Oryctolagus cuniculus: one gene and its partners. The protein of the gene in region 3 interacts with the protein of the main gene of each other region in a pairwise test. Links are inferred from orthologs where the notes say so. Each region holds a gene or a part of one and is shown on either strand. Other genes may lie near its edges. The genes, in order: NMNAT1, NDUFV2, CCNC, PNMA5, TRIM39, MEOX2 and KRT13.

Region 1 (4,061 bases), on a different chromosome or scaffold from region 3:
AAGCTCCTGGCTCCTGGCTTCAGCCTGGCCCAGCCCTGGCTGCTATGGCCATTTGGGGAGTGAACCAACGGATGGAAGAGCTCTCTGTCTCTTCCTCTCTCTAACTCTTTTAAATAAATCTTTTTTAAAAATAAAGCATGGGGGCCGGCGCTGTGGCATAGCAGGTAAGGCCACCGCCTGCAGTGCCGGCATCCCATAAGGGCGCTGGTTTGAGTCCCGGCTGTTCCACTTCCAATCCAGCTCTCTGCTATGGCCTGGGAAAGCAGTAGGGGATGGCCCAGGACCTTGGGCCCCTGCACCCGCGTGGGAGACCCGGAAGATTCTCCTGGCTCCTGGCTTTGGATCGGCACAGCTCCGCCCGTTGCGGCCAACTGGGGAGTGAACCAGTGAATAGCAGATCTCTCTCTCTTTCTCTCTCTCTGCCGCTCCTCTCTTTGTGTAACTCTGACTTTCAAATAAGTAAATAAATCTTAAAAAAAAAAGAAAAAAAAGAAAGAAAGAAAGAAAGAAAAGCTTAAACCCCTGGCATTAAACGCTGATTTCTCCCGGAGAGACTAACTCGCCCGCCTCACCTAGTATTCCCTGCCGGTGAGGCAGGTGTCCGGAAGGCAGAGCCGCGGCTCAGGTCCTGGGCGGTATCCTGGAGTCCGGTTCACGCTCGCCTGCCTCGCAGCGCCGCGCTGACCGCTCTCGGACCGCACCACCTTCCGGCGCCCGCAGCTCCGAGTGTCATCAACTTGGAGAAGGCGCAATCTCATCAGGACCAGAGGCTCAAGGTTCAAACCCCGCAGGCGTGGCGGCGGCTGGGGAAGGGGAAAGCATTAGCAAGGCGCTTCACTTACTCCAGGGACCTGGCCGGACACGGCCCGCGACCGAGGACGCCAGGGCCGGGGCGCCGACCACCACGCCGCGCCCCGCGCAGCCTCCCCAGGCCGTCGTGGTGGAAGACCCCGCCACCGGACGCGCGCGGAACAGGGGAGGGCGGAGGGCACACCTCTTCCCCGCGGGCAGCCAGCGGCACCCGACCACGGCCGTGCGGGAGTGAATCCCATCCCCGCCCGGGAACCGGAGAACCCCGGCACGGAGCTCCGGCGGCGGCCCGGCCCCACCAGGCCCCGGCTGCCCCCAGGGGTCGCCGTGACCCGCCGCCCCCGACGCGCCTTCCGGTCCTCTCTGAGGAGAACCCAGAGCTCCTCCCGGACCCCCGGGGTCCCCTCTCGCCTCCCGCCAGGGCCCGGTTCCCGAGCCGGGAGCCAGGAGCCCCGCCTACCTGCGGGCCACACGAGCCCGACCGCGCGGGAGGGAGCACTTCCTCCCGACGTACCACTTCCGGTCCCCGGGAGCCAATGGGGGTGCGGCCGCGGGGTTCCGCCTTCGCCCGGGTCCGCGCCGCGTGGCGTCCGTGGCAGTGGGTGAGTCAGTGGTTCCCCCCGCCCGCAGCCCCTGCGCAGTGGTGTCAGCCAGGACTCGGTGGCCAGCCCGAGCTGGTGTGGACGTCTAGGGTCGGGTACTGCGGTCCTGAGGCAAGGTCACGTTCACCTTTACTTCTTCCTCGAGGAACCAAAAACCTCGGAAATTTGCCTCTGACGTTCGCAGCGGGTGACGTCACGCGAGGGTTTTTGAGGGTTGGCGCTGAGGCGACCGAGGGAAAGTCTTCGTCTTCAACGCCTGCCCTTTCCCAAGTCCGTGGCAGAGTGGATCCACTTTCCTGGAAGCCGATTGGCCCCTCGCTTCCTGGGAAGGAGATGGCTTTTGGAAACATTCCTTCCAGTGTTTCCTAACATTATTTGAAAGGCAAAGAGCCGGAGAACTCCCTTCGCGTCACCCCCCAGATTCCTACGATAGTCGGGGCTGGTCCCGTCTGAAGCCAGGAGCCTGGGAACTCAATCCCGGTCTCCCTCCTGGGTGACAAGGACTCCAGTGCTGGAGTCCCCGGGAGCACCCAGGCAGGAAGCCGGAATCAGAAGTGGAGCCCATGTGGCCGCGGGTTCGAGTCCCGGCTGCTCCACTTCCGATCCAGCTCTCTAATATGGCCTGGGGAAGCAGTGGAAGATGGCCCAAGTGCTTGGGCCCCTGCACCCACATGGGAGACCTGGAAGAAGCTCCTGGCTTCTAGGTTCAGAATGAGCCCAACTTGGGCTGTTGTGGCCATTTGGGGAGTCAACCAGCAGATGGAAGACTAATCTCTCTGCCTCTGCCTCTCTCTAACTCTGTCTTTCAGATAAATAAATTAAAAAAAAAAAAAAAAAGGAAGAGAAAGAAAAGTAGAAAGGAGGGAGGGATGAAGGGAGGGAAGGAAAGAAAAGAGAAGTGGAGCTGGGACTCTAACGCAGGCACTCTGCTATGGGATACAGGCATCCCAAGTTTCATCCTAACCCCTGTGCCAAATCCTGTCCTGCGTGGACACTTCTGTCCCCCCCCCCTTCTGAAGAACCAGCAGTCCACGGGACATCGGAGACATCGTCATTTCAGAGGTCTGGTCACTGAAGTTAGATTTCTGCTGCCCAGGACAGACTTCCAATGTTGATGGTCATAGAACTCTACCAGAAGGAATTGCTCTGTCACCTGTGTCTGATCACAGAATTTCTTATCACTAGGCTTTTTTTTTTTTTTTCTTCAGAATTAAACACGAAGCTGCTTTTTTAGAGAATGGTGACACACTGGTTGGAATGATTCCAGTAGCCTACCTTACAAAACACTTCAGATTCAAAGAATTCCTTTGTAAAAGTAAGTGCCTGTTACATCAATGTGATTATATTTAATTTTGGTAGGTTAACATGAGGGAAAGTATCAATGTTTACGGTAAAATGGAACTCAGTGACTCTACTGCCAAACAGAACTGGAAAACACGGGAACCATTGAGAGAATTTGCTGAGTAAGCACTTTCTCACCATGTGCTTCCCTAATGTTGATGACGATAATGTGGAATTCGATTTAGGCATTTGTGCTGGTTTTTCAGCTTCATTTATTTGAAAGGCAGAGATCTGTTGTCCACTCGTCCACTCCCCGGCTGCCCACGGCAGCTGATGCTGTGCTGGCTGATGCTGTGCTGGGTGGAAATGTTCCCGCCTGTCGCAGAGCTGTGAGCTCAGTCCACTCTCCCACGTGGGTAGCGGGAACCCAGTCGCTCTCGCTTGCTGCCTCCCAAGGTGCACACTGGCAGGAAGCTGGAATTTCAAGCAGAGCCAAGTCTCAAACCGAGGTACTCGTGTGTGGGACTGGGCGTCCCAAGCCGCAAATCGCCTGCTGCGCCCGAGCCAGCCACCTTGTGCTCACTTTATGTAGTCGTGAAAGCTGTGGAGAAGAGGCCTTACCACGTACGCCCTGTATTTACCTCATGTTCTTTTTTCTTAGCTGATCAGTGGGTCTGTGTTGTTGGATGTTCTTACATACTAGGGTTGTTTTTTTAAGGTTGAATGGATAATGAGTATTTCTAGTGCTTAAGTAAGAAATTGGTTTGGTTTCCAATTTTCCAAGCCTTCAAATGTGAGACAGAAGAGGTTGGAGAAGGAGGAATGCTATGCTATGTGGTCATAGGAGGCAGGACTGAGGAGCCAGGAACTCAGTCTGGTTCTCCCACGAGGGTGGCAGAGACGCAAGTGGAGTTGGGAGTCATTACTAGGAAATCGGATACATCCTGCTTAGCAGCTGGCGTTTAGGACATTTAACTTGCTTGGACTTGGGATGGGAGCCCGGGGAATGCAAACTGCTGTAACAAGGTAGAGAGAATGCTGGGGCAGGGGAAACTTGAGTGACTAACAAGAAGTACTGTTAGCCAAAGGCTCTCTGAACTCTGGGACCTCTGTTGTTTTTGTTGATTGATTGATTGATTTGAAAGGTGGGGTGTGGGGGGAGAGAGAGAGAGAAAGAGAAAGAGAAAGAGAGAGATCTTCCATCTGCTGCTTGGCTCCCCAAGGAGCTACAACGGCCAGCCATGCTGGACAGGTTGAAGCAAGGAGCCAGGAAGGCCATCAGGTCTTCCGCATGGGTAGCAGGGGCCCAAGCACCTGGGCCATCTTCTGTTGCCTTCTCAGGTACAGTAACAGGAAGTTGGGTCAGAG
Region 2 (4,122 bases), on a different chromosome or scaffold from region 3:
GGCATACAACCCTTTTAGATAAGCAGGCACAATATGCAAAATTTTCATTCATTCAAAAATTTTTTCTTCATTCAGTCAACACATATTTATTGACTATCTTCCATATGCCCGGTATAGTGCAAGTTGCTGAAACAAAGAAGATGGGAGTGGCAGGTTTTTGCAGCCAGGGAGTTTATTACTTAGTGCAGTAACAAAAGTTGAGGCAAGTGCATTTTGGTTTCTTATGGGCTAATGTGGACTGGGAGGTCAGAGAAGGCCCTAATAAAATCCAGCAAAGACATGGATACCAGATTCAAATGATCCATGCCAAATCAGTCAGTCTTATCCATTTTTAAGCTTGTTTGAATTTCTGAGATGTTTTGGTTTTAGGTAAGAACTGTATGAGCAATTATGTGTATAACATGGATCACAGTGTTGAGTGTATATATATATGTGTGTGTGTGTGTGTGTGGCTTTATAATAAAATAATTTAAATCGACATTGAGGGGCAGAATATCTTTCTCTTTTAAAATCCCTGTGCTGCTGTGAAAATTCCAGAAACTATTCACAAATTTATTATAGCAAAGAAAACGAGTAAATGGAAGGGGTGGGTTCAGGACGTGAAGGCAGTGAAGGGAAAATTAGAGGTAGAAGGTGTCTTGCAGACTCTCCATAGCAGGAAATGGGGCTGTGCATGCTATAGCCCTTACCGAGTAAACACTTGGCTGGAATTTCCAGAAATGACCAAACAAACATCAAGAAGGAAGTGTGGCTTTTTTTTTTTTTTTAAGTTTTATTACGGAAAATTTCTGATACATAGAAAACAACGGAGACTAGGAACAGGATCTACCAGTCATCATTCAAGGCTAATCTTGCTCCGTTTTTACCTTCTATTCCCCAAGACGCTGAAGCAAATTCCAGACATAATATCTGACTCCTAAAAATGCCGATATACATCTCTAAAGCAAAGGAACTGGAACCAACAAGGCATTTGGTATCTAAGCCTACCTCGTCGGGGAGCGTCACTCTGTGTCTTGACTTCCATAATTCGTACAATGAGATTTATAAATTTATAAATGGGCTGTAACGTTATTATTTTTCTTAAGTAACTGCAACACAAGAAACGGTGGTTAACCCTCACGAGGTTCTCCAAGAGAGAAGCTCACCACATAAATCCAGGTCAATGCTTCATTTTCGAAGAGCCCAGGGAGCCACTCGCGAACGCTTCCTTTCAAGGCTGGGACCCCAGCCACCGCGGGCGGAACGCCGCCTTGTAGGGTCCGGGTGGGTCTTCGTCCCGCCCCGCCCCCGGAGGTCTCCGCCCACTGGGCCCCAGCAGCCTCCGCGCGCCCGCGCGCGCTCCCGTGGGCCGCCGCCCTTGGCGTAGAGAGAGGTGTAGTACACGCTCCTAGCGCCCAAGCCTGACTCGGGGACGCGCACGCCGTGCGTCCGGGGCACGCTCGGGATTCTGGCCTTGCGCGGCCAGGGAAAGCCGAACGGTTTGGCCCGCCATGTTCTTCTCTGCAGCGCTCCGGGCCCGGGCGTCTGGCTTCACCGCCCAGTGGGTAAGGAGGCTTGGGACGAGCCCGGGCACTGCAGCCTCCCGTCTCCCGCTCTCCGTGCCTCCCTTAGTTTTGGGCAGAGGAGAACCCTGGGCGCTGGAGGGGCCAGGAAGCGGAGGCAAGGACACTGCGGCCTTCGCCCTCTGCTCAGGGAGGCCGCTGCAGCTCCACGGCGAGTGAGGCGCCTCTAGGGAGGGTCGGCCCCTGTGGCTGCGGCGGGTGCGTGGCCTCCCCCGCCAGGCAGGGATGTGTATGCCTAATTTGGTCACGGAGGATAGGAAGGAGGGGCCGCTCGGTGACCTCTTTTCTTTTGCTTTCTTTCCTTTTTTTTTTTTTTTTTTTTTTTTTTTTTTTTTTTTTGAGATTGCGCTCTAGCGCGGAACTTAAGGTTCCCCTGCGTCGTTCAGATGTGTCCTTAAGACCTTCGTCTCCGAAGGAGCAGGCACCTTGCATGTCAGGCCAGGTGACTGCATTGCTGGGAGGCTGCAGCGCACTGGAGAAAACTCTGGCTGGCTTGGTGAAAGCTTCCTGAGTTTCCTGAGATCGCAAGTAAATGAAGGCATTGCTTCGTTTACTGCAGTTGTGCTTTGCATATGGGAGATGCTCCAGGAACAGTCCCATAGTGTGAAGGAACAGTATCACAACTAAAGAATCGCAGGATGTTTACGGTCTTGAAATCCAAGTACATTTTGTAGAAAAGGACTCGCAGAGAGGTTGAAGCATGCATTCGCGTTAACTTAAAAAACGCAGATTCCAGAAGCGGCACTTACTGGAGCGGAAGAGGCCTTGGGTTGGTTGGTGTGTTTCTAGCAGTAAGATAGTGAGATTGAGTCAGCCCTCAGTGAAAGGGAGGTAGTGTGCCTTAGAACGGAGTCTGGATGGCGCGTCTCGGCCTTTTGTAGCTCTACGACCTTGAGCTGCTGGTCTCCCTCAGTTGTCGAAAGGGAATAAAATATTCCACTTGCAGCGTTTGGACGCTGAGTAAACTTTTGAGGTCCTACTGTGGGGTATGCGCTGCTGGGCTCCAGGCAGTGGTGTGGCTAGTGATAATCATAGGTAACTTCGGTGAGTATTTTCTGTGCCAAGCCCGTCCTTACATGTCTGTGTTCTGCATCTTACTTTTGAGGTTGGTACTGTTTTTTTCCTCATGCTACAGTTAAACAATCCCTGTTCTTGTGGAATTGATAGTCTTTTGTAAGAGAGACTTTAAGATAAATATGATAACAGTATAAAAGTACAGTGTTAGAGATCCAAATAGGGCCATCCAGTTTGGTTTGAAGATGGGATTTTGTCCCTGGAGGTAGTTCTAAGGTTGGGGATGGCAGCAGAGATATTTGAGGTAGAAAGACAACATAAAAAGACTATCAGTAATGGCCAGAAAAAGATTGGTGTGTGAGAAGCCAACCCTGCTGTTGGAACTTCAGTGTGTTCCCGGATGAAATAAGAGCAGGGTGGGGGCCAGATTTTGAAGCCCCTCGCGTGCCCTGCTAAAAAATTTGTCTTTATCTTAGAGGCAGTGAGGAGTCTGAAACGCTTTAGAGGAGTAGAGGGATATGGTCAGGTTTCTGTTCTGGGCAGAGCACTGAGTGCCACTGAGCTGGGGCTGGGTTTGGTTGCAAGCAGAGCAGGGGGCGCTGAATAGAGGCTCTTGCAGACCTTGTCAGGTCTAAATGAGGTGAGACTCAGACCTTGTCTCCCAGTAGAGGAGATGCAAATATGTCTACATAGAGATTTGTTTTTGTTTTATCTTTGAAGCAGAGAGGTTAGAGATAAAAACTGAAAAAAGTCGATAATGAGAAAGAACAAGTTTAGGTAATAGAGGAAAATTTTAATCAAGTTTCACGTTTCTCAGCTTTGTTTTCAAAGAGTACGTTGTGTATAGTCTATGCCCACCATGTGAGTTGTTTAATTTTTGTATTATGCAAGTAGTGCATTGCGGGAAAAACAACAGCAAGTACGTTAAGCACAAAAAACGTAGAGAGTACCGTTGTTAATGTTTTAGTGACCACAGTGAACAGATCTTAGAGATTTCCTTTTTTTCCCATTTTTACAAATATTGCAAGGTACTATTCATAGTGTTTTGTAGTCCTTTTTCCATAATATATTTTGAGCAGCTATCTCATCAGTAAACACTACTTGTGTGCTCTTGTTTTAATCCTGCATAGCATCCCACAGGTTGTGGATGTAAGAATGGACGAGCAAAGAGCAGGAGAAGTACAAGGTCTAACCAGGAAAGTTGGCTTTCTTAGCAGAGAAACCTTTGAAAAACCTTGGCATTTTTCAAAGAAATTGTCCATTCTGTTATGATTTCTGCTTTTTTAGCCATTTGCCAGTCTTCAGCCATAGGCTTTTTAAGCTCAACGTTGCTTAAAAAGATTCTCAGAACTTAGTACTAGTTGTGTGACCTTGAGCTGTATTTCTTAATGTCTCTGAGCCTAATTTTTCTTTTCTGTAAAATAGGATAACCTGATTGGACAATGGTAAGAACTGACTAAATATTATGCATTATGGAGGGCCAGGTACTCAGAATAGGCTTATTTCGTTCAGTAATGGCCCATGGTTTTTTGTTAATATTGATTAG
Region 3 (3,500 bases):
CACTCCCTATCATTCGTTATCAAACTCAGTTTAAGCTTGGCTAAAGCAAAGTACTTGGAGAGTAAATAATTCTTTAGTTGAATATTATATAGTGGTCTCTCCTATCTTAGAACTAGCTTTGTAGGAAAGGGGATTTGGAGTTGAAAGACCTTTACACTGACAGGTGCTATAGCTTTGTCTCATGATCTTTGTCTCAGTTCACTTTTCTGTAAACCTACCTCACTGTTTTGAGGATTCATTATGGGTTTTTTTTTTTTTTTTGATAAATTGTATAAAGTAGTAGCTAGAATGAGTTTTATAGTTTATTGAACATTTTCTTTTTATATTTATTGTAAAGATAATATGAAAAGCATTAAAATATTTACAAGATAGAAGGGAAGTATCTATCATTCAGTCTCCTTAATATAAGAATATATTTTGTTTTGGGCAATTTCTTTTCCTCTCTTTTTGTTCATTATGCTTATATATGTATTTTTGTATAAATTTGCAAATCCTTGCACTAAACCACTGAGAGCCAAATGGAGCTTTATAGCATGTGTAGGTTTTTTCCCTTTGTTAAAAATGAGTATAGTCATGTTCAAGATTAATAATGATACCAGAAGATATACTTAAAATTTTACTATTTCCCTTTTAGTTATCCAAGCATTAGGTGAGCATCTTAAATTAAGACAACAAGTTATTGCCACTGCTACGGTCTATTTCAAGAGATTCTATGCCAGGTAGGACTGTTTTATTTTGGGAATATACTAGATGTCTTAAAAACTCTTATTTAATGTTGATGAATCGTGTGTGCGGTAGAGTTAACTTGATATTTTTTCTTTAGTGTGTTTTTCAATGAGTGACACTTAACTTTGTTTTATGATATTTTTAGGTATTCTCTGAAAAGTATAGATCCTGTATTAATGGCTCCTACATGTGTGTTTTTGGCATCCAAAGTAGAGGTATAAAACAATTTTCTGATTTTCATCAATATTGGTTAATCTGCCCCAGTTGTCACATTACTTATTTAAAGATAGTAGTAGATGATAATTTAAGCAAAATACAAAAATGACACAAAAATCAAAGAAATACATACATAAATTTGTGTATTTATTTTTTAAGGGCTTATATGGCTCTTAACAGAGTACCAAGTGCTTTTGTAAATCTTTTTACAAGTATTAACTGACTTAATCCTCATAAAAAATGGAATATGTGATAGTAGAGTTCCTACTTTATAAATGAAGGAACTGAGGCACAAAGAGATTAAGAACTTGCCTGTATTTGTACAACTGGTAAGTCGCAGAGCTAGTATTTTGAACTGTGAGAGTCTAGTTCCTACTCCTATTTTCTTATTTTTTTTTTCTGCAGCCTTTAAGATTTTTAATTGTTTTGTACAAGTAGAATTCAATAAATGCCCTAGCTTGTTTCCTATAACCTAAGAGTGTCTCTCCTTCGCATATGCTTATTGCTACTGTCTTCCCTCCTTTCCTTGTGGTGATTGGCTGCCTACCAAGCCATCAGGAAAACAAAGGAATGGCAATGATTAGGAGAGGCTACAGCTATACAGATTCTATCAAATAAAAATCAGATGAAATAGAAAATTCAGGTGAGGGAGAGAAGAAACATAGGCACTTAGAGCTGAGACTGAATTTTTGCTTACCCTATTTATCTTTTCTGCAAAAATCCAGACAGTAGTAGCAGATATCAACTGTTTTTTTAATCCATTCAGGTTTTTTTTTTTTTTTTAAGATTTTTATATATTTATTTGAAAGAGTAACCAGAGAGAGAGAGGTCTTCCATCCGCTGGTTCACTCTTCAGATAGCCACAATGGGCGGAGCTGCACTGATCTGAAGCCATGAACCAAGAGCTTCTTCTGGGCCTCCCATGTGGGTGCAGGGGCCCAAGGACTTGGGCCATCTTCTGCTGCTTTCCTAGGCCATAGCAGAGAACTGGATAGGAAGTGGAGCAGCTGGATCTTGAACCGACGTCCATATGGGATGCTGGCACTGCAGGCGGCAGCTTTACCCACTATGCCACAGTTCCAGCCCCCAATTCATCAGTCTTCAGTATTACAAAGCCTTTGTACTGTGTTTCTGTTTTTAGATATCTTTATAATAGTAATGATATTCTTGAATATTATGGTTTTTTTTTAAGATTTATTATTTGAAAGGCAGTGACAAGGTGAGAGAGCGGGGCCATCCAACTGATGGTTTAGTCCCTAAGTGGCTGAAAAGATCTAGGTTGGGTCAGACCTAAGTCAGGAGCCAGGAATTCCATCTGGGTCTCCCACATGGATGGCAGGGACTCAAGCACTTGGGCCATCTTCCACTGCTTTCCCAGTCACATTAGCAGGTAATTAGATTGGAAGTGGAACAGCCAGTATACAAACTGGCATTCCAATGTGGGATGCCAGTGTTGCAGGTGGTAGCTTAACTTGCCACAACGCCAACCCATCTGAATATTATTTTAGCCTATTGTTATTTTTTTTTTTGGTACTCATTTTGATTTAGCTTTGTTTTAGCTATTGTTTAGGATTATCACTGACATTTCTCCCAACTATTATCTCAAGAATGAGAATTGACCCTATTAGAAAGAATACTAAGGAAAACGTTTTAGTGATTTAATATTTTTCAATTTTAGAGGTAGTTTAAGGAGGCAGAACTGACTTTGTTAAGTTCTTTTTTTTTTTAAAGATTTATTTATTTATTTGAGAGGCAGAATTATAGACAGTTATACCATGCCTTGGTTTGCTCTCCAAATGGCTGCAATAGCAAGAGCTGGGCCAATCTGAAGCCAGGAACCAGGAACTTCCTCTAGGTCTCCCACCTGGGTGCAGGGGCCCTGGTGCTTGGACTGTCTTCCACTGCTTTCCCAGGCCATCAGCAGGGAGCTGGATTGGAAGTGCAACAGCTGGGACTTGAACCAGCACCCATATGGGATGCAGGGATGCAGGCAGAGGCTTAATTTACTATGCCACAGTGCTGGCCCCTGTTAAGTTCTTTAATGGAAAAGAAAATGTTTATAAAACAATTTTAATATGGGTCTATTTTTTACAAATATTGCCATGTAACGGCTATTTTTATATATCAAGCACAACCAGTATTTGATACCAATTTGTTGATACCAACAAAACCTTATTAAACATCTATAAGCTTTATAGATTAATTTAGATATTTTGTTGTTTTTTTCATTATTGAATTTTTTTGAGAGATTTATCTTACTTATTTATTTGAAAGACAGAGTCACGGAGAGAGGTAGAGACAGAGAGGTCTTGCATCTGCTGGTTCATTCCCCAGATAGCCTCAATGGCTGGAGCTGAGCCAATCCGAAGGCAGGAGCCCGAAGCCAGGAGTTTCTTCTGGATCTCCCATGTGGGTGCAGGGGCCCAAGGACTTGGGCCATCTTCTACTGCTTTCCCAGGCCATAGCAGATAGCTGGATCAGAAGAGGAACAACCGGGACTAGAACTGACGCCCATATGAGATGCTGGCGCTTCAGGCCTGGGCTTTAACCTGCTGCGC
Region 4 (4,171 bases), on a different chromosome or scaffold from region 3:
TTTGTTTTTAAGGAAAGACTAGGGAGGAGCCAAGTCTAGCAGTGAGAAGTAGAATGAAGTACAGAGGTGCTCAGGACAGCTCTGCTCACAGCCTGTATGAGACTGGGCAGCTGGTGGTGTCATCCAGAGGGTGCTGTGGACTGCTGTAAGGAGAGCCGTCTGGTCTGTGACCACGTGGCAGCGCCAAGTAATCATTTTCTCCAGTAAGGAGAAGGAAATTAATTTAAGAGATAGTCCAAAGTATGTTCTTGTTAAGTACGCAGTATAGGGGTCTGGGTTACAGTGTCATGTCTCACCTAGGAAAAATTTTCAATTAAAGGAGAATAATGCAATATTTGTATGTATCTTACTTGGTGACATTTAGTTTTAAAAGTTTTCTGCTTTTCACATTTTCATTAAAATATGATTTTAAAAAAGGCCTGTTATTCGTACCAAATACAGCAAAACTTACGTTCTGTCAGCTTACAACTTCTGGCTCTGGTAATCTCAGAGCAGTGCTACACAAAGCATGGGCAGGGAACTGCAATAGCCGCTAGAGTTTTGGTACTTTTGCAGACTCTGAGCTCTGCCAAGACCTCCTGACTCACAACTTGAACCGCTACTATCACCTGCTCTGGGAAATGTGTGTGCACTTTGTAAACTGCTACCAGTGTCCCACCAGTGCCCTTTGCTGGGACAGGACTTTAGGGTCCCCAGTAGCCCCAAGGAAAACAGCTAAGTCTTCCCTCTGTGGAAGAAACCTGCTTTGGGAAAGAAAAGAGAGAAGTTTCGGTACCTCGTGGGTAATTCTCATGCAATCACGAGAATAATGAGAGAATGAAATCTTGATAGTTTCCTGTATCTCAATGAGCCTTGAAAATTGCATGCATTTGTAAAATGAAGGTAGTAGCTGTATTTTTTATTTTTTGCCGTCCCCTAGGACACAGTGGATAAAAATTAACAAGGACAGAGACGTTTGGTTAGTTAGTAGGTACCGAGCTTGTAGTTTGCACCTGGACCTATACTTTGCACATAGCCCTGTGTGCATAGCTTGGAATACACAAACAGGAGGAGCCACTGGTGAAAGTCAGAGCCAGTCCCAGTCCAATGGGTGAGAGACACCTATCATAGTAGCCGCAATGGTTGCTGGGACTGATGTGACAGGTGGTGGTCCTGTCGGCCTCTATTGAGCACGTACAAGCTGGACTGTGAGCAACTCTGCAACGCAACAGTTCTCAGTATGGTTTGAATTCTCTGTTCCCCCTCCAGTCATGACTCAGAGGAGAAACGTGCGGTGGACAGGGCACAACCCCTTTATTGCAGGAGTGGGGTGGAGGTGGAGATGGGGGTGGGCGTGGCCGTAGACGTTGCCGGGATGCATCTGCGAGTGGGCGGTGCTGAAGACCGTTGCTTACCCGACAATTTCTTTCCCGCCACAAACTCGCGGCTCATTCCGTACAGTGGCGGCGGCAGAGTGGCCACGCTGCACGGGCGCTGTGGCCTGGAGGCATTCCCAGAAGGTAAGGAGCTGGGTTTGGGCACAAAAGGGAACCAAGGTTACAACAGATTCCCTCCAATGATCCTGGTTGACCTCCATGAGGTCCCAGGGGCCAGTGGCCTTAGATTCCCCTGGAAGCAGAATCCTAGGGGTCCCTGATATTTCCAGTTATCATGAGTGGCCTCAGAACTTTAGGAGGGCCCATTCTACCCCAAACCTGCCCAGACGTAGCAGTAAGGACAACTGGTTCTGGCCCTTATCCTTGAGGGAAAGTGGCTTTGGCCATTCCTGTTCTAGCCTCTAGCTACCTCTGCTGACTAGATGTGTCCCTGCTCAGAGTAGTGGAAAGGGTGTGTGAGGTTAGGAGTGAATGGGACAGCCTGATGGGTACAGGAGGTTAAAGATAATGAGGTGGGGGAAAGGAGTACAGGGAAATGGAAGTGAGGAACTTGGGTGGGTGCAGGACGTGCACATGAATGGCGGAGTGTATGACACTCGGATGGACACAGAGTTTGGCGGTTCAGTGGCTCTTGGTGAAAGTGGCTTTTGGCGCCAGAAATGGCGCTTGCGCAAGACGCAGTTTGCCGGTTCAGTGGATCTTCAGAGGTTGGCTTTTGGCGCCAGGAATGGCGCTTGCGTGGACGCAGAGTTTGGCGCCAGAGGTGGGGCTTACGTGGACGCAGAGTTAGACGGCAGGGGTGGGGCTTGCGTGGACGCAGAGTGTTGCGCCGGGGTGGGACTTGCGTGGACGCAGAGTTTGACGGCAGGGGTGGGGCTTGCGTGGACGCAGAGTGTTGCGCCGGGGTGGGGCTTGCGTGGACGCAGAGTTTGACGGCAGAGGTGGGACTTGCATGGACGTAGAGTGTTGCACCAGAGATGGAACTTGCGTGGACGCAGAGTTTGACGGCAGGGGTGGGGCTTGCGTGGACGCAGAGTTTGGCACCAGAGGTGGGGCTTACGTGGACGCAGAGTTAGACGGCAGGGGTGGGGCTTGCGTGGACGCAGAGTGTTGCGCCGGGGTGGGACTTGCGTGGACGCAGAGTTTGACGGCAGGGGTGGGGCTTGCGTGGACGCAGAGTGTTGCGCCGGGGTGGGACTTGCGTGGACGCAGAGTTTGGCGCCAGAGGTGGGGCTTGCGTGGACGCAGAGTTTGACGGCAGGGGTGGAGCTTGTGTGGACGCAGAGTGTTGCGCCGGGGTGGGGCTTGCGTGGACGCAGAGTTTGACGGCAGAGGTGGGACTTGCATGGACGTAGAGTGTTGCACCAGAGATGGAACTTGCGTGGACGCAGAGTTTGACGGCAGGGGTGGGGCTTGCGTGGACGCAGATTAGACGGCAGGGGTGGGGCTTGCGTGGACGCAGATTAGACGGCAGAGGTGGGGCTTGCGTGGACGCAGAGTTTGACGGCAGAGGTGGGACTTGCATGGACGTAGAGTGTTGCACCAGAGATGGAGCTTGCATGGACGCAGAGTGTTGCGCCGGGGTGGGACTTGTGTGGACGCAGAGTTTGGCGCCAGAGGTGGGGCTTACGTGGACGCAGAGTTAGACGGCAGGGGTGGGGCTTGCATGGACGCAGAGTGTTGCGCCGGGGTGGGACTTGCGTGGACGCAGAGTTTGGCGCCAGAGGTGGGGCTTACGTGGACGCAGAGTTAGACGGCAGGGGTGGGGCTTGCGTGGACGCAGAGTGTTGCGCCGGGGTGGGACTTGCGTGGACGCAGAGTTTGACGGCAGGGGTGGGGCTTGCGTGGACACAGAGTGTTGCGCCGGGGTGGGGCTTGCGTGGACGCAGAGTTTGACGGCAGAGGTGGGACTTGCATGGACGTAGAGTGTTGCACCAGAGATGGAACTTGCGTGGACGCAGAGTTTGACGGCAGGGGTGGGGCTTGCGTGGACGCAGAGTTTGGCACCAGAGGTGGGGCTTACGTGGACGCAGAGTTAGACGGCAGGGGTGGGGCTTGCGTGGACGCAGAGTTTGGTGCAAGGAGTGGGGCTTGCGTGGACGCAGTTACATGGCAGGCGTGAGGCTTAGGTGGATGCAGAGCTTGGCCTTGGGGGTGTGGCTTGAGTGGAGGTGGGATTTGGGGCTTGGTGGGTGGGATTTTTCCCTGGGGGTGGAGCAGCAGTTTCTTGTATTCGTGAGCAGATTCAAAATTGGCACATCCTGAGCAGGGCATTTGGGACGTAACCACAGTGAAATACCTCTGCCTTGCTTTGGACAGATCCAGTGAAGGGATCCTGATCCATCTAACCTGGTTCGGGAACTGCCTGACAGGACAGAGCTGGAGAGCAAGCTGAGTGCCTGATTACATCAGAATCACAAACTCTACACGGCCAGTGGAATCCACACTGCCAAGTCGTCAAGTAAGTTATTTTGGAAGGTGAGCCTCTGTGACCCTGGCAAAGGACAAGGGGACAAAGGCTGCCTTCCAGGATCCACACACTCTGCAGGGTAGGGCCACACCTAGGGTGACAGTTGTCTGTTTCCTGCAGCGGGACAGTGGGAACCCTTCGTTGGGTCCCTTTTCTGCCCCTAATTCTAGCTGCTACACAATATGAAACCTTAAGCACTTGTTTTTTCAGCACTCAGTCCTTGCTGCTCACCTCACCCCCATCTCCCCTTCACTCTCCCAGCTCCCTTGCTGCTAGGACATTTCCATTGGCTGGAGGATAGTGACATCACCTGTTGCTCTTCAAG
Region 5 (3,500 bases), about 68 Mb from region 3:
AAACCAGAACTGTAGTGTTATTTATTTTGAACTTTTTTTTAAAGCTTTTTATTTATTTGAAAGAGTGACAGAGGAGGAGAGACCCAAAGAGAGAGCGAGCGAGCGAGAGTGAGAGAGTGTCCATGACCTCTTCCATCCGCTGATTCACTCCCCTAATGCTCACAACAGCTGGGGCATGGGCCAGGTGAAAGGCAAGAGCCAGGAACTCCATCTGGGTGAGGGACCCAAATACTTAGGCCATCATCTGCTCTCTCTCAGAATGCACATTAGCAGGGAGCTGGACCAGAAGTAGAGGCAAGTGCTTCCATCCCAGGGACTCCCATGTGGGATGCTGGAATCTCCAGGTGGCAGCTAAACCCACCTAGCTGTAATGCTGCCCGTTTTTTTAGATTGCAAACTATCGCCTCAATGGTCCTTGAAATGGCCACCAACATTGCTTTTGAGACCATTTAAATTCTGCCACCTTGTCCCTCAGCCCCACCCACCTCTTTGCCTCAGTCCTCTTTTCCAAAGTTTGTGGTTAACTGCTGAAATGAAAAATTATAAATAACCTATCTATGTAATTTTGAAGAAACTGACAAGTCCAAATATAATGTCATACAGCATAAAAGTAACTTATGATAAAATCTGGTGTGTACATATTTGGGGCAGGACTACCCAGGAGATCCTGTGGTGCAGTTATATACTTGAACCCATATGTGGCATCATCAGCAATGCAATAAATAGAAAATCTAGCCGGTGCCACGGCTCACTAGGCTAATCCTCCGCCTTGTGGCGCCAGCACACCGGGTTCTAGTCCCGGTCGGGGCACCGGATTCTGTCCCGGTTGCCCCTCTTCCAGGCCAGCTCTCTGCTGTGGCCAGGGAGTGCAGTGGAGGATGGCCCAAGTGCTTGGGCCCTGCACCCCATGGGAGACCAGGATAAGTACCTGGCTCCTGCCATCGGATCAGCGCGGTCATTGGAGGGTGAACCAACGGCAAAGGAAGACCTTTCTCTCTGTCTGTCTCTCTCACTGTCCACTCTGCCTGTCAAAAAATAAATATATATATATATAAAGAAAAAAAAAACCTCCTACTGCTAGACCCCACACTGAGTGTGGCCTGAGCAGCAGGATTTAAAAAAAAAAAAAAGAAAAAATCTGACCAGGCCCCCTAAGCAGCCAAGCTCTTGGTAACATGATTTTGCAAAATAATTACATTGCATAAAGTTCTAAGAACAGAATATAGTCTTAGTAAGTTGTATTTAGGGACCATAATTCCAGTGTATTAAACTGTGCTAAGAATTACTCTGTGAAATACAAAAATGATGTTCAAGTCCAAGCCTGCATTTTTTACACACACAAAAATATTTCCATTAAAGGACAATACATTGAAAATGGTACAAGACAGGTCACTGTGCAGGGTTGTCTCACACACTGAAGGAGTGCCAGCAGCCTTGCCACAAGTGCCCAGTGCAGGTGTTGTGGCATAGCAGGTTAGCCTGCCACCTGGAACAATGTGCCCGGGAGGCAGCAGGTGGTGACCCAAGTACTTAGGTTCCTGCTACTCAGGTGGGAGACCCTGATGAAGTTGCTGATTCTGGCTTTGACCTGGCCTCCTAGCCTCAGCTGTGACAGGCGTCTGGAGAGAGAACCAGCTTCATTTAATTCTCTGTGTCTCCCTCCCTCTCTGTCACTCTGCCCTCTTTTATTAAAAATTCTCCCATTTCCAAAATGCATTCACGGAAATAACAGCTCATTAAGAACAAATATGGAGTAAACAAGGAGAAGGGGTTATGAGTTTCTAATAAGGGGAGCCTTTTTGCTTCCTGTGTTCCGTGGTCATGAATCCTGAACATCTACCCATATGTCACCCCTACGCTCACACATGCCGACACGCATGCATGCCGTCAGAGCAAATGAGAAAGGACATTCAGCTGCAGCGTGCACCTGCGCAGGCAGCCGTGGAAGCACATAGGTAGTCAGCCTCTGCCGGAAACTGCGTGGACATCAGACGTGCCAGGCTTGTGAAGCCCACCCTGGCGTTCGTCCCCCCTCCTCCACTTAGCCCTGCCTTCAGGCCCTGTCCACTTCCTCTTTCCACAGGCCCAATCTGGCTGCCCACTTTGCTTGGCTCTTGGGTTGGTACCTCCCCCCAGTCACAGGACACTCGGTGCATACTCTTGTGAATACACAGAAGAGAGGATTGCTGATAACCCTTGCAAAGTGCCGTGGCTGGTGTTTGAGGATGATACCAAATTTCAGGAATGCTAGAGGTGTACTTGCATGTGCCGGTGTAGAGAAAGCAACTAATTCACCAACTTTTGGAACCTGTTCCAGGACGGGAACTGCCAATTCTTTGAAATGAATCGAAACTGTTTAACAGGTTTAGCCCTGAAATCTGCATCTGTATTTCATAACCTCTCATTATTAAACTTGCTGATTCTGATACTTTTCCGATTGATTTTCTGGTTTTTTTTTTTCCTCTTAAATGCCTTGCAATATACAAATGATGACAATTTAGCTTTCCAGGATTTGTTCCTTCATGTTCTTGACGAGAAATTCAGCAGTTGGGGGTAGCAGAAATATCTCTAATATCTATAATAGCAGACATTGTCATATTGAGTACTTATGTGAATATATTTTAGTAAAACATAAAAGTACTACTATTTTAGATCATGAAGAAAATGAAAATACTTTTAAACGTTGATTTTTTTTAACCTCCCCATGTTTTTCACTGTCAAGTTTTCAGTGGGCGTGGCAGGGATGGAGTCATTCTTTCCAGAAGGAAATTGCACCCAAGAGAAAGAGGGGTGTCCTGTGTAATGGTTGTCAGTGACTCTGGAAGTCTCTGCTGAGGTGCACACATGGTGGGCAAGGGGCCTCCCCCTGCCCTGCCAGCCCTGCTGACATAGCGTCTTCCCTCTCTCCCTAGAGACTGGTGGAGAGTCGCCGGCAGCAGATCCTGCGGGAGTTTGAAGAGCTGCACAGGCGGCTGGATGAGGAGCAGCAGATGCTGTTTGCACGACTGGAGGAGGAGGAACAGGACATTCTCCAGCGACTACGAGAAAATGCTGCTCACCTTGGGGACAAGCGCCGGGACCTCGCCCACCTGGCTGCAGAGGTGGAGGGCAAGTGCTTACAGTCGGGCTTCGAGATGCTTAAGGTTCGACCGTTGCCCCTGCATAGCCCCTCAGGTCGTGCACAGTATAGCTTCGCACAGCCAGTATGTCAGCCTGGGAGGCTCGCTCTTCCACTCTGCTTCCCTAGATCCAGTCTTTCCTTCCAGACATACAAGGATCTCTTCCTACAGAAAGTCCTCTGATCTCTCCCATCCTTTCTAATCATGGTCTTATGTCCTGTCAACAATTATGTACTTAATTTGTACCCAAGGGGGAAAAAAATCACTTTTTGAAAGGACAAAAGTCATAGTCTGAATAAGTTAAAAAAAAAAAAAAAAAACTATGCATTAGAAATTTTGTGAAACCAGTTACTTTTAAGTCCTGGATTTTGAATCACCTAG
Region 6 (4,150 bases), on a different chromosome or scaffold from region 3:
CCCACTCAAGCTGTAATCTATCAATACTTTATGCGGCTGACACAAACTTGCTTTTCATGGACCCTAAATATCAGCTTCAACATGTAAAAATGAATTTTACTTTGTTATATGGCTAATTTCTCATCCATGAGAGAGGAGCTAAGGAGCATTAAAGGAGGCCAATTTTTTTTTTTTTTAAGTTTCATTGAAACAATTCGTGGGCATCAGTTCTTGTATTCCACTTTCTCTATCTGTCCCAAACAAAATCACACTTGCCCTATGAAATTCGGATTTGCCCTAAGACACTCAGGGGTACTGGGCTGAGTCAGGACGCCTGAGGAGGGAGCCCATCATCCGGCTTCTCCCGCGGAGAGTGAGAAGGGCCGCTCACTCAGAGCTTCTAGTTCTAGAAGGATGTTCTCATCAGCCCGAACCGCCTGAACTGCCACCGCTTCCACACCAACACTGATATCCAGCGCCCAGTCTGTGCAAGGGCCATTGCTGTCTAAAACTGGCCCTTGTTTATTTATTTATCTTTAAATAATGAAGATGAAAACCTTCTTGCTGGGATTAACCTTTCAACTGGTCTTAAGAGAGTTTCATTTGTAGTTAGTAAAACCCATTAAAAATGAGTGACATCGCTAGTAACTTTCTTAGATATTAACTAATTTGTGATGGGGCATTAATGGTCCACCCCTGACCCTGGAAAGTAAAAGTCGAAAGAAATCCAGCGCAGGCTAAACTGAAGAAAGATCGGTAGCATCGCTGCAAAGCAATTCCAACGCTCATTTCCATCTGCGTCCTTTATGTGGCCTAAAGCTTTACAGGAGATAGACATCTGCCAACTCTTTCAACCCACGGCTGAGATTATCTTCTGGGACTATAGACATCAATTTCGCAAAAGAAACACACGCTAAGTGTTCTATTGCGCAAATGACATCTTCCTAAAACACGAAGGAACCCAGGGTCACAACTCCCCTTCAGTGAAAAATCCTCTGAACAATTTCATCACAATGCAGGCAGGTAAGGGCTTTGCAGACCTGCCTCTGTGGTTAGATTTCCCGGGCAAGCTGCGCGTTCCGGCGCTCCCAGGGCTGTTAGGTTCCGGGCACGCAGACGAACGCCTGGTGGGTGCCCCGTTGCGCGTATCACTTTGAGCAGACAGCACTGGACCTGCCCTTGGATTCCCAGTTTTTGTCGTATTGCACTCATTGAGAGAGGAGTTGATCTTCCACCCTGAAACCTCTTCGATTCTCCCTTTGCATTGGTATCATACGAATACTACTAACTACTCCTAACAATCGTCTTTCTCCAATACTTTTCGTCATCTATTTGTTTAAAAATTTCTGACATGCTCCTTAAAAAAAAAAAAAAAAAAAAAAAAAAAACTTCTTAGACACTATCTTCCTTTCCCAAGAAAGGGAAGCATTTACCATTTAGAATAGGTTGCTATTTAAGGAATCCTGAAATCCAGAATAAATAAATAAATAACCTAAAACTTTTTTTTTTTCTCATACGCTCTGCCAAGTTCCATTCCAAGGTTCCAAATATTGTGCAACGATTTGGAAAGCCAGTTAACGATGGGAAAAAGCGAGCCATTCGGAGTCGGGAACATGCGAGGCAGAAGTCCGGGAGCCGCACCCGCACGCCCGCCCCACGGACACGCATCCCCAGGCGCACGCCCCTCCCGGCGCCGCGCCCGGCCGTCACGCCGCGCAATCGATTTCACAAACTGTCACTCGCTCCCCTTTGGTCTCAAACTTCTGGAGAAGTAGTTTGGGACCTTGGGAAGCCTAGAGCTGCCGCTGCTGGCTGCGTGTAGGTTGCGCACAAGGGTAACACTCCCCTCGCCCCCCCAAGTAACTGGGACCACAGCCGCATCTCCCAAACCTGCGCGGGCTGGACACTGCCCCAGCTTTTGCTGTGCCCCGCTGCAGCCTCCAGCGCTTGCAAACTGCCGCCCTGGCCCGACCCAGCTGCGTCTGCACTCCGGCCGAGGGTCCTTGGCGCGCACCTTACCTGAGCTGTCGCTTTTCCTCTTGCCCCCGCTTCGCTTCTCCACCTCCGCGGGTGACAGCGTCTGACGACCGTAGTCCCCCGGCGCGCAAGCGGCCCCAGTCGGGGTGCTGGAGCCCAGGCTGGAGGAGTTGGAGCACAGGACCGGCGGGCTGCTGCCCAGTTCCGGGGGCCCTCCGGAGTCCGGCTGCAGGCAGAGGCTGTGGCGCGCCGCGCTGGGCGGGGAGGACATCTGCGGGAGGTGCCAGTTGGTTTGCAGCGCCTGGTGCTGTTGCTGCTGGTGGTGGTGGTGGTGGTGATGGTGGTGGTGGTGGTGGCCCCGGTGGTGCTGGCTGGCGAACATGCCCTCTTCGTTGGGGTATCCCGCGATGATGCACGAGGACGACGAAGTGGAGAGCTCCGGGTAGGACATGTGGTCGGATCTCCCGTGCAGGGCGAGCGACGACTGAGAGAACGGGTGCAAGCCTTGCGCCGTGGCGTGCGGGCTGCGCAGGCAGCCAAAGAGCGGGTGTTCCATAGCATGCAAGTCGCGGGCTCCAGGCGGGAAGACTTCAAGACGACCGCACCAACGCTGGCACCACCAGCCTGCGGGCGCTTCTCCGTGGCAATCGTGTGGCTTCCCCCGCACCCTACGCCGCCCCTGTGTCCCCAGGCCAGAGCCGCGCGGGCTTTCCGGCAGCGCTCGTGTAATCCCTGTCCTAAACCCTCGGGCCGGTCTCCTTCACATATAAACACTGGGACCCAGAGGAGCTTCCCTCCGAGCGACTCGGATGTCAAGAGTGGGAGCGGTCGAAGCCAAAAGAAGGTGGTCCCAGAGAACTATACGCCTGGGGGGTGGGGTGGGGGGGGGAGGAAGGGCTCTGGGAGGTTATAAATAGAGTGTAACGTGAGCCGGGGGCTGGCTTAGGAGCCTGGCGCTGACCACATGCGAGCTCCTCCAGCGCGCCCGCTCAGTCTGCGCCCCGCGCTCCCAGCCCCGCTTCCCACTGCCGGCTGGACAGTCCTTCCGCGTGTCCCCGCCCGCCCGGCCCTGCCAGCAGCCCCGGGCTGCAAGCCGCGCACCAGGCGCCGGGATCCCGCCAGTCCCGGCTCCGCACCCACCCCCCAGCCCCTACCCGCGCACCATGACTTGTCAGTGCCATTTGGAAACTGTCACCCGCAGGAAAGCTTAGGGGTGCGCCCAACCCCTGGGGGAGTGAGCGCGGCTGAAAAGGGCAGAGCAGAGCCAAGTCTAGCGCACGCTGCGAGAAGTTTCTCAGACTTCGCTCGCTGCGTGCGCCCCGGGGCACAAGGCGCGCCCGGCTTTTTGCCGCCGAGGTGTGTGCGCCGGCCGGGCACCGGGCTCTGGGGTAGGGTCCAGGTGCGGAGTTGCGCAGCGCGACCCGCAAGTGGGCAGCGCTCGAGACCGAATGGACCGGGACTGGGTGCGGTGAGCCGGCGGAAAGTGCGCGGAAGCCCGCGCCCAGGCATCCCGACGTGAGCCGCCTACTGGTGCCCTGCCTTGGCGTCCCGCCCCCTGACCGTCACAGCGAAACTGGTCCCACTCCATTTCCCAGCCACCAGTCCATCTAGAGCAAGCTGTCCTGGGCCGGGAAGATTCTGAAGAGAGTTTGTCCCTGTCACATGCCACGTGCGGATTTGCACGCGTGCTCCCAGCCTCGCCCCCTCCTCCCCCAGGAGGCAACCCAGGGCCCTTGATTTTCCTCCAGAACCCCACCGCCTCTCTCCCGCTCCCACACAAACCAGCTCCTTCCACACACTCCTCCTCACTGCGCTATGGTGCCACTGATTGGGAAACCGAACACTCTGATGCGTGCCATCGGCGCTTGGGCGTTTCGGGTTTGCATCCCGCAAACAGGAAAGCATAAGTTTGGAGTCCCTGAGCGCATGCGGGCCGCTGGCTCTGTCCCGGGGGCGCACCGGGCCGCGGGGCAGCCGGCTCCCAGCTGGGCCGGTGCCGTCAGGAGCGCGCGTGCCCTCACTGCTCCCGGCCGTGCCACCAGCGGTGTTGCCCCGTTATTTTCATTGTCTCAGGTGTCCCGAGGATGGGGACCAGGTCTTTGAAGTTGTTCCTGAGATTAATGGGCACAGCAGACGGGGCTGGACATCTGGTTCGAATTAGGGGCGAGTACTGAGCCATCTCTGGGCGGTGTCC
Region 7 (4,086 bases), on a different chromosome or scaffold from region 3:
CTGCTGCTTTCTTGGGTACATTAGCAGTGAGCTGGATTAGAAGCAGAGCAGCCAGGACTGGTGCTCTAAGGTGCTGGTGTCACACGGAGCAGCTTAACCCACCGCACCGCCACGCTGGCCCTACTATGAAGCATTAAACCCACAGGCCTGGTGGATTCAGGGCCTCTCCACTGGGCTCTGCTGGCCTCTCAGGCCTGACGAGTCTTCGTCGTGGGGCGGTCCTGTGTGTCGCGGGGTGTTCAGCCGCACCCCTGCTCGCTGCTCTGCATCCCAGCAGCTTCCACAGCTGTGGCCACCAACCTGTCTCAGGGTGACATCAGGGGCATGGGGGTCACTGGGGGAAGGTGCCAGGAGATGGACGGGTGCTGGGAAGTGCTGTGTGGTGGTCACCGGTAAAAATGCATTGAACTGGACACCTAGGATCTGCACATTTCACTGCATGAAAACACACCTCAAAAACTGGTCTTTGGGTCAGACGGGACCAGGTTTGGGGTGCAGTCCTGGTTCCGTCCTGAAGGCTCTGTTTGCTTGCGTGTGAAACAGCGGCCACAGGAGGAGTCTGTGAGGCCCTGAACGCCAAGTGCTGGGCCCACGGCTGCCCGGGGCAAGGGCTCTCAGAACATCAGCTACGAGGATGCGTGGAGTCCCTTCCTCTTCCTCGCCTCTTCCTTCTCCCCAGCTGCGTTGGCTGGCTCCCTAAGCCCCCCGCCCCCCGAGGTCCCTTGTCACTGTGATTCTTTCTGATGGCATTGGAGCCATCTCAGACTAAACACTCCCAAGGCAGCCGATTCTGCAGGACCAGTGGAGTTTGTCCTCAGAGTCGCTGCCGGGGCTGCAGTAGACAGAGGGCTGGAAGGGAGACAGAGCACCCTGTGCAGAAGCTTCGGGCTGGAAGGAAGGGAGGTGGGGGGCTGCGGAGCCTCACAAGGCACAGGGCACCGGCAGCCGCCTCTTCCTTCGAGGCTCGCCGGCAGCTGTTTGCAGCTCAGTCCCCGTTCTAAAACCGGGTGGGGCCGAGAGCCTGTGGAGTGAGCTCCTTAGAGGAGAGGTGAACTAGGATTCACTCTCAAAGGGGAGTCTTAAGCAGAACACCGTTCCCTCTGAATCATCTCTTTTGTTAAGGATTAAAAAAAAAAAGCCACCCCCAAAAGGCACAACCCTCCCTGGGGAGCAGAGGTAACTGGGTTTGTGAGAAAAGAAGGGAAGTTGGCACCAAGTCAGAGGGTGGGGAGGGGAGGAGAGAGGATGGCCAGCCCCTCCGCAGGTGTATAAAAGGTGTCTGGACCGGGACAGAGCCATCGTCCTTGGCCCAGGCCAAGCCCAGCTCCTGCCTGCACCTGCTCCAGCACCGCTCTCGCCTGCACCATGAGCTGTCGCCTGCAGAGCTCCTCCACCAGCTACGGCGGTGGCTTCGGGAGTGGCTCCTGCCAGCTGGGAGGAGGCCGCAGCGTCTCTACTTGCTCTACCCGGTTTGTCTCCGGAGGCTCAGCCGGGGGCTACGGGAGCGGCGTGGGCTGCAGCTTTGGTGCTGGAGCTGGTAGTGGCTTTGGAGGTGGCTTCGGAGTTGGTCTTGGAGGTGGCTTTGGTGGAGGTTTTGGCGGTGGCTTTGGTGACTTTGGCGGTGCCGACGGCGGCCTCCTCTCCGGCAATGAGAAGATCACCATGCAGAACCTCAACGACCGCCTGGCCTCCTACCTGGACAAGGTGCGCGCCCTGGAAGAGGCCAATGCCGACCTGGAGGTGAAGATCCGGGACTGGCACCTGAAGCAGAGCCCAGCGAGCCCGGAGCGCGACTACAGCCAATACTACAAGACCATTGAGGAGCTCCGGGACAAGGTGAGCCCCCGGGTGCCGGGCAGGGCTCCCCAGGGCAGGGCAGAGCCCTGAAGGCAAGGCCACTGCAGTCCTGGCCTCCCTTCCTTCCGAGGGGCAGGTGCTGGGGGGAGTCACAGCCTCCCTGCGGGGGAAACTTTTAATCTGTCACTCCCCACCACAGCTCCTCGCTTTCATTTTCTTGTCACTACTACTGCTGTCCTTAAAAAACAAACAAACAAACAAACAAACATTGCTTGCCAGTTATGCTATTAGAAAGCTGATCTCTGCAACCCTAACTCACAGAGCTATTTGGAAATGTGACAGCTGTAAAAACCACACAGGTACTAAAATCCACAGAGACAGACATGTTCGTGCATCGCTCTGGGACTAGTTGTTTATTTTGCAGGAGCCCCGCTTAAATGGGGCTTCTCAACGGGGGGTCGGTCAGGTTGGGGAGAGGGAGGCAGAGGCGTAGGTGGCCCTGAGCCCGGATGTCCTCCGTGGGGCCTGTCCATCATGTTGCGACACCTGCTTCTTAGGACACCCACCAGCTCGGCCAAGTCCCGGCTCTGCAGGGTTGGGTTTCCAATGCTTGGAACACACATGTTCGGACGAGAAATTCTGACGGGTGGGATTGATGTCGGAGATCCCCTACGCTCAGCTGGGAGGCCAGGCTCAGTGGAGTCAGCAGGGAAAACAGGAGTCCTGCGAGGCCCCTTTTTACCAGAGAAGGTTCTCGAGACAGACAGGGGCTGACGGTGAGGTTGCTGGGCTGAGGCTGTTGAGAAAGTCCCGGGGGGCTCATTCCTGCGAAATGCTTAGGCTGGGGCTTCCCGGTCCTGACCAGATGCAGGGTGTATCAGAGAAGGGGGGCTGAGGAGGCAGGGCCCCAGGCACAGCAGCCCAGCAGGCTGCTCCCAGGCCCCTGCCCCCGTGGAGGTCACCTGCTCCCCTCTCCCGCAGATCCTGGCCGCCACCATCGACAACAACCGGGTCATCCTGGAGATTGACAACGCCAGGCTGGCTGCCGACGACTTCAGGCTCAAGTGAGTTCACGTCGCGAACGTCGGCTTCCCAGCATTGGAGCAAGCCTGGGGTGAAAGCTGTGGCAGAGCCGCTGAGCCTCCTGCAGGGATGGCGGAGTCACTCATCATTTTTTTTAAAAAGTTTTTTTAAAATATTGCAGGTATGAGAACGAGCTGGCCCTGCGCCAGAGTGTGGAGGCCGACATCAACGGGCTGCGCAGGGTGCTGGACGAGCTGACCCTGACCAAGGCCGACCTGGAGATGCAGATCGAGAGCCTGACTGAAGAACTGGCCTACCTGAAGAAGAACCACGAGGAGGTGCGAGGGGGTGGCCGGCCCGTTGTGGCTCAAGGGCTTCTGGGAGAAAGGCGAGCCCTCTGCTGCAGCTGCACGCGGCTGCCCACTGGGGGACCTGGGAGCACTTTCCAGAACATTCTGCCGGCCTTGAGAGCCAAGGAGAGGGAGGAGCTTCATGCAGCTTCCTTTCCCACCCCCACAGGAGATGAAGGAGTTCAGCAACCAGGTGGTGGGCCAGGTCAACGTGGAGATGGACGCCACCCCGGGCATCGACCTGACCCGCGTGCTGGCAGAGATGAGGGCGCAGTACGAGGCCTTGGCAGAGAAGAACCGGCGGGACGCCGAGGAATGGTTCAACAGCAAGGTAGCAGCTGGTGGTGCAGGCAGGGCGCGGCCTCCCCAGCTCGGGGGGCTTCTAGGTGGGCTCCTCCATCACCATCTTCCTGCCTGCATTTCAGAGTGCCGAGCTGAACAAGGAAGTGTCTTCCAGCACCGCCATGATCCAGACCAGCAAGACAGAAATCACGGAGCTCAGGCGCACGCTCCAAGGCCTGGAGATCGAGCTGCAGTCTCAGCTGAGCATGGTACCCAGCCGCTGCCCCCCGCCCACAGCCGCCACCTCCAGCGCTGCCTCGGGCTCGGCCACCCCCATCTCACTTCTTCCCCGTTGCCCCCCTGCAGAAAGCCGGGTTGGAGAGCACGGTGGCGGAGACGGAGTGCCGCTACGCCCTGCAGCTGCAGCAGATCCAGGGGGTCATCAGCAGCATCGAGGCCCAGCTGAGCGAGCTGCGCAGTGAGATGGAGTGCCAGAACCAGGAGTACAAGATGCTGCTGGACATCAAGACGCGGCTGGAGCAGGAGATCGCCACCTACCGCAGCCTGCTCGAGGGCCAGGACGCCAAGTAGGTCCTCGCCGCCGGTCTCCCTGCACGGCCTGGGGGTGTCGGAC

Evidence for each region.
Region 1: the proteins of CCNC (region 3) and NMNAT1 interact in binary tests that used the Homo sapiens proteins (3 or more experiments, as listed by UniProt). The two-hybrid records come from large-scale screens. The link is inferred for Oryctolagus cuniculus from reciprocal best matches to the Homo sapiens genes CCNC and NMNAT1.
Region 2: the proteins of CCNC (region 3) and NDUFV2 interact in binary tests that used the Homo sapiens proteins (3 or more experiments, as listed by UniProt). The link is inferred for Oryctolagus cuniculus from reciprocal best matches to the Homo sapiens genes CCNC and NDUFV2.
Region 4: the proteins of CCNC (region 3) and PNMA5 interact in binary tests that used the Homo sapiens proteins (3 or more experiments, as listed by UniProt). The two-hybrid records come from large-scale screens. The link is inferred for Oryctolagus cuniculus from reciprocal best matches to the Homo sapiens genes CCNC and PNMA5.
Region 5: the proteins of CCNC (region 3) and TRIM39 interact in binary tests that used the Homo sapiens proteins (3 or more experiments, as listed by UniProt). The two-hybrid records come from large-scale screens. The link is inferred for Oryctolagus cuniculus from reciprocal best matches to the Homo sapiens genes CCNC and TRIM39.
Region 6: the proteins of CCNC (region 3) and MEOX2 interact in binary tests that used the Homo sapiens proteins (3 or more experiments, as listed by UniProt). The two-hybrid records come from large-scale screens. The link is inferred for Oryctolagus cuniculus from reciprocal best matches to the Homo sapiens genes CCNC and MEOX2.
Region 7: the proteins of CCNC (region 3) and KRT13 interact in a two-hybrid assay, tested with the Homo sapiens proteins (2 studies listed by BioGRID and IntAct). The two-hybrid records come from large-scale screens. The link is inferred for Oryctolagus cuniculus from reciprocal best matches to the Homo sapiens genes CCNC and KRT13.

What each region holds. Positions count from the first base shown.
Region 1 is NC_091438.1:158,230,093-158,234,153, reverse strand, and holds the start of NMNAT1 (nicotinamide/nicotinic acid mononucleotide adenylyltransferase 1), read left to right. Parts: upstream 1-1,261; 5' UTR 1,262-1,412; exon of another isoform or gene 1,413-1,562; intron 1,563-2,620; 5' UTR 2,621-2,669; coding exon 2,670-2,727; intron 2,728-4,061.
Region 2 is NC_091441.1:66,330,970-66,335,091, forward strand, and holds the start of NDUFV2 (NADH dehydrogenase [ubiquinone] flavoprotein 2, mitochondrial), read left to right. Parts: upstream 1-1,322; 5' UTR 1,323-1,490; coding exon 1,491-1,544; intron 1,545-4,122.
Region 3 is NC_091436.1:72,164,563-72,168,062, forward strand, and holds part of CCNC (cyclin-C), read left to right. Parts: intron 1-634; coding exon 635-719; intron 720-871; coding exon 872-941; intron 942-3,500. UniProt on the Homo sapiens protein: Component of the Mediator complex, a coactivator involved in regulated gene transcription of nearly all RNA polymerase II-dependent genes.
Region 4 is NC_091453.1:131,406,284-131,410,454, reverse strand, and holds the start of PNMA5 (paraneoplastic antigen-like protein 5), read left to right. Parts: upstream 1-1,371; 5' UTR 1,372-1,499; intron 1,500-3,695; 5' UTR 3,696-3,837; intron 3,838-4,171.
Region 5 is NC_091436.1:139,956,086-139,959,585, reverse strand, and holds part of TRIM39 (E3 ubiquitin-protein ligase TRIM39), read left to right. Parts: intron 1-2,912; coding exon 2,913-3,143; intron 3,144-3,500.
Region 6 is NC_091447.1:7,289,576-7,293,725, forward strand, and holds the start of MEOX2 (homeobox protein MOX-2), read right to left. Parts: upstream 2,801-4,150; 5' UTR 2,513-2,800; coding exon 1,999-2,512; intron 1-1,998. UniProt on the Homo sapiens protein: Mesodermal transcription factor that plays a key role in somitogenesis and somitogenesis and limb muscle differentiation. Required during limb development for normal appendicular muscle formation and for the normal regulation of myogenic genes.
Region 7 is NC_091448.1:21,121,509-21,125,594, forward strand, and holds the start of KRT13 (keratin, type I cytoskeletal 13), read left to right. Parts: upstream 1-1,286; 5' UTR 1,287-1,365; coding exon 1,366-1,836; intron 1,837-2,778; coding exon 2,779-2,861; intron 2,862-3,001; coding exon 3,002-3,158; intron 3,159-3,339; coding exon 3,340-3,501; intron 3,502-3,595; coding exon 3,596-3,721; intron 3,722-3,818; coding exon 3,819-4,039; intron 4,040-4,086.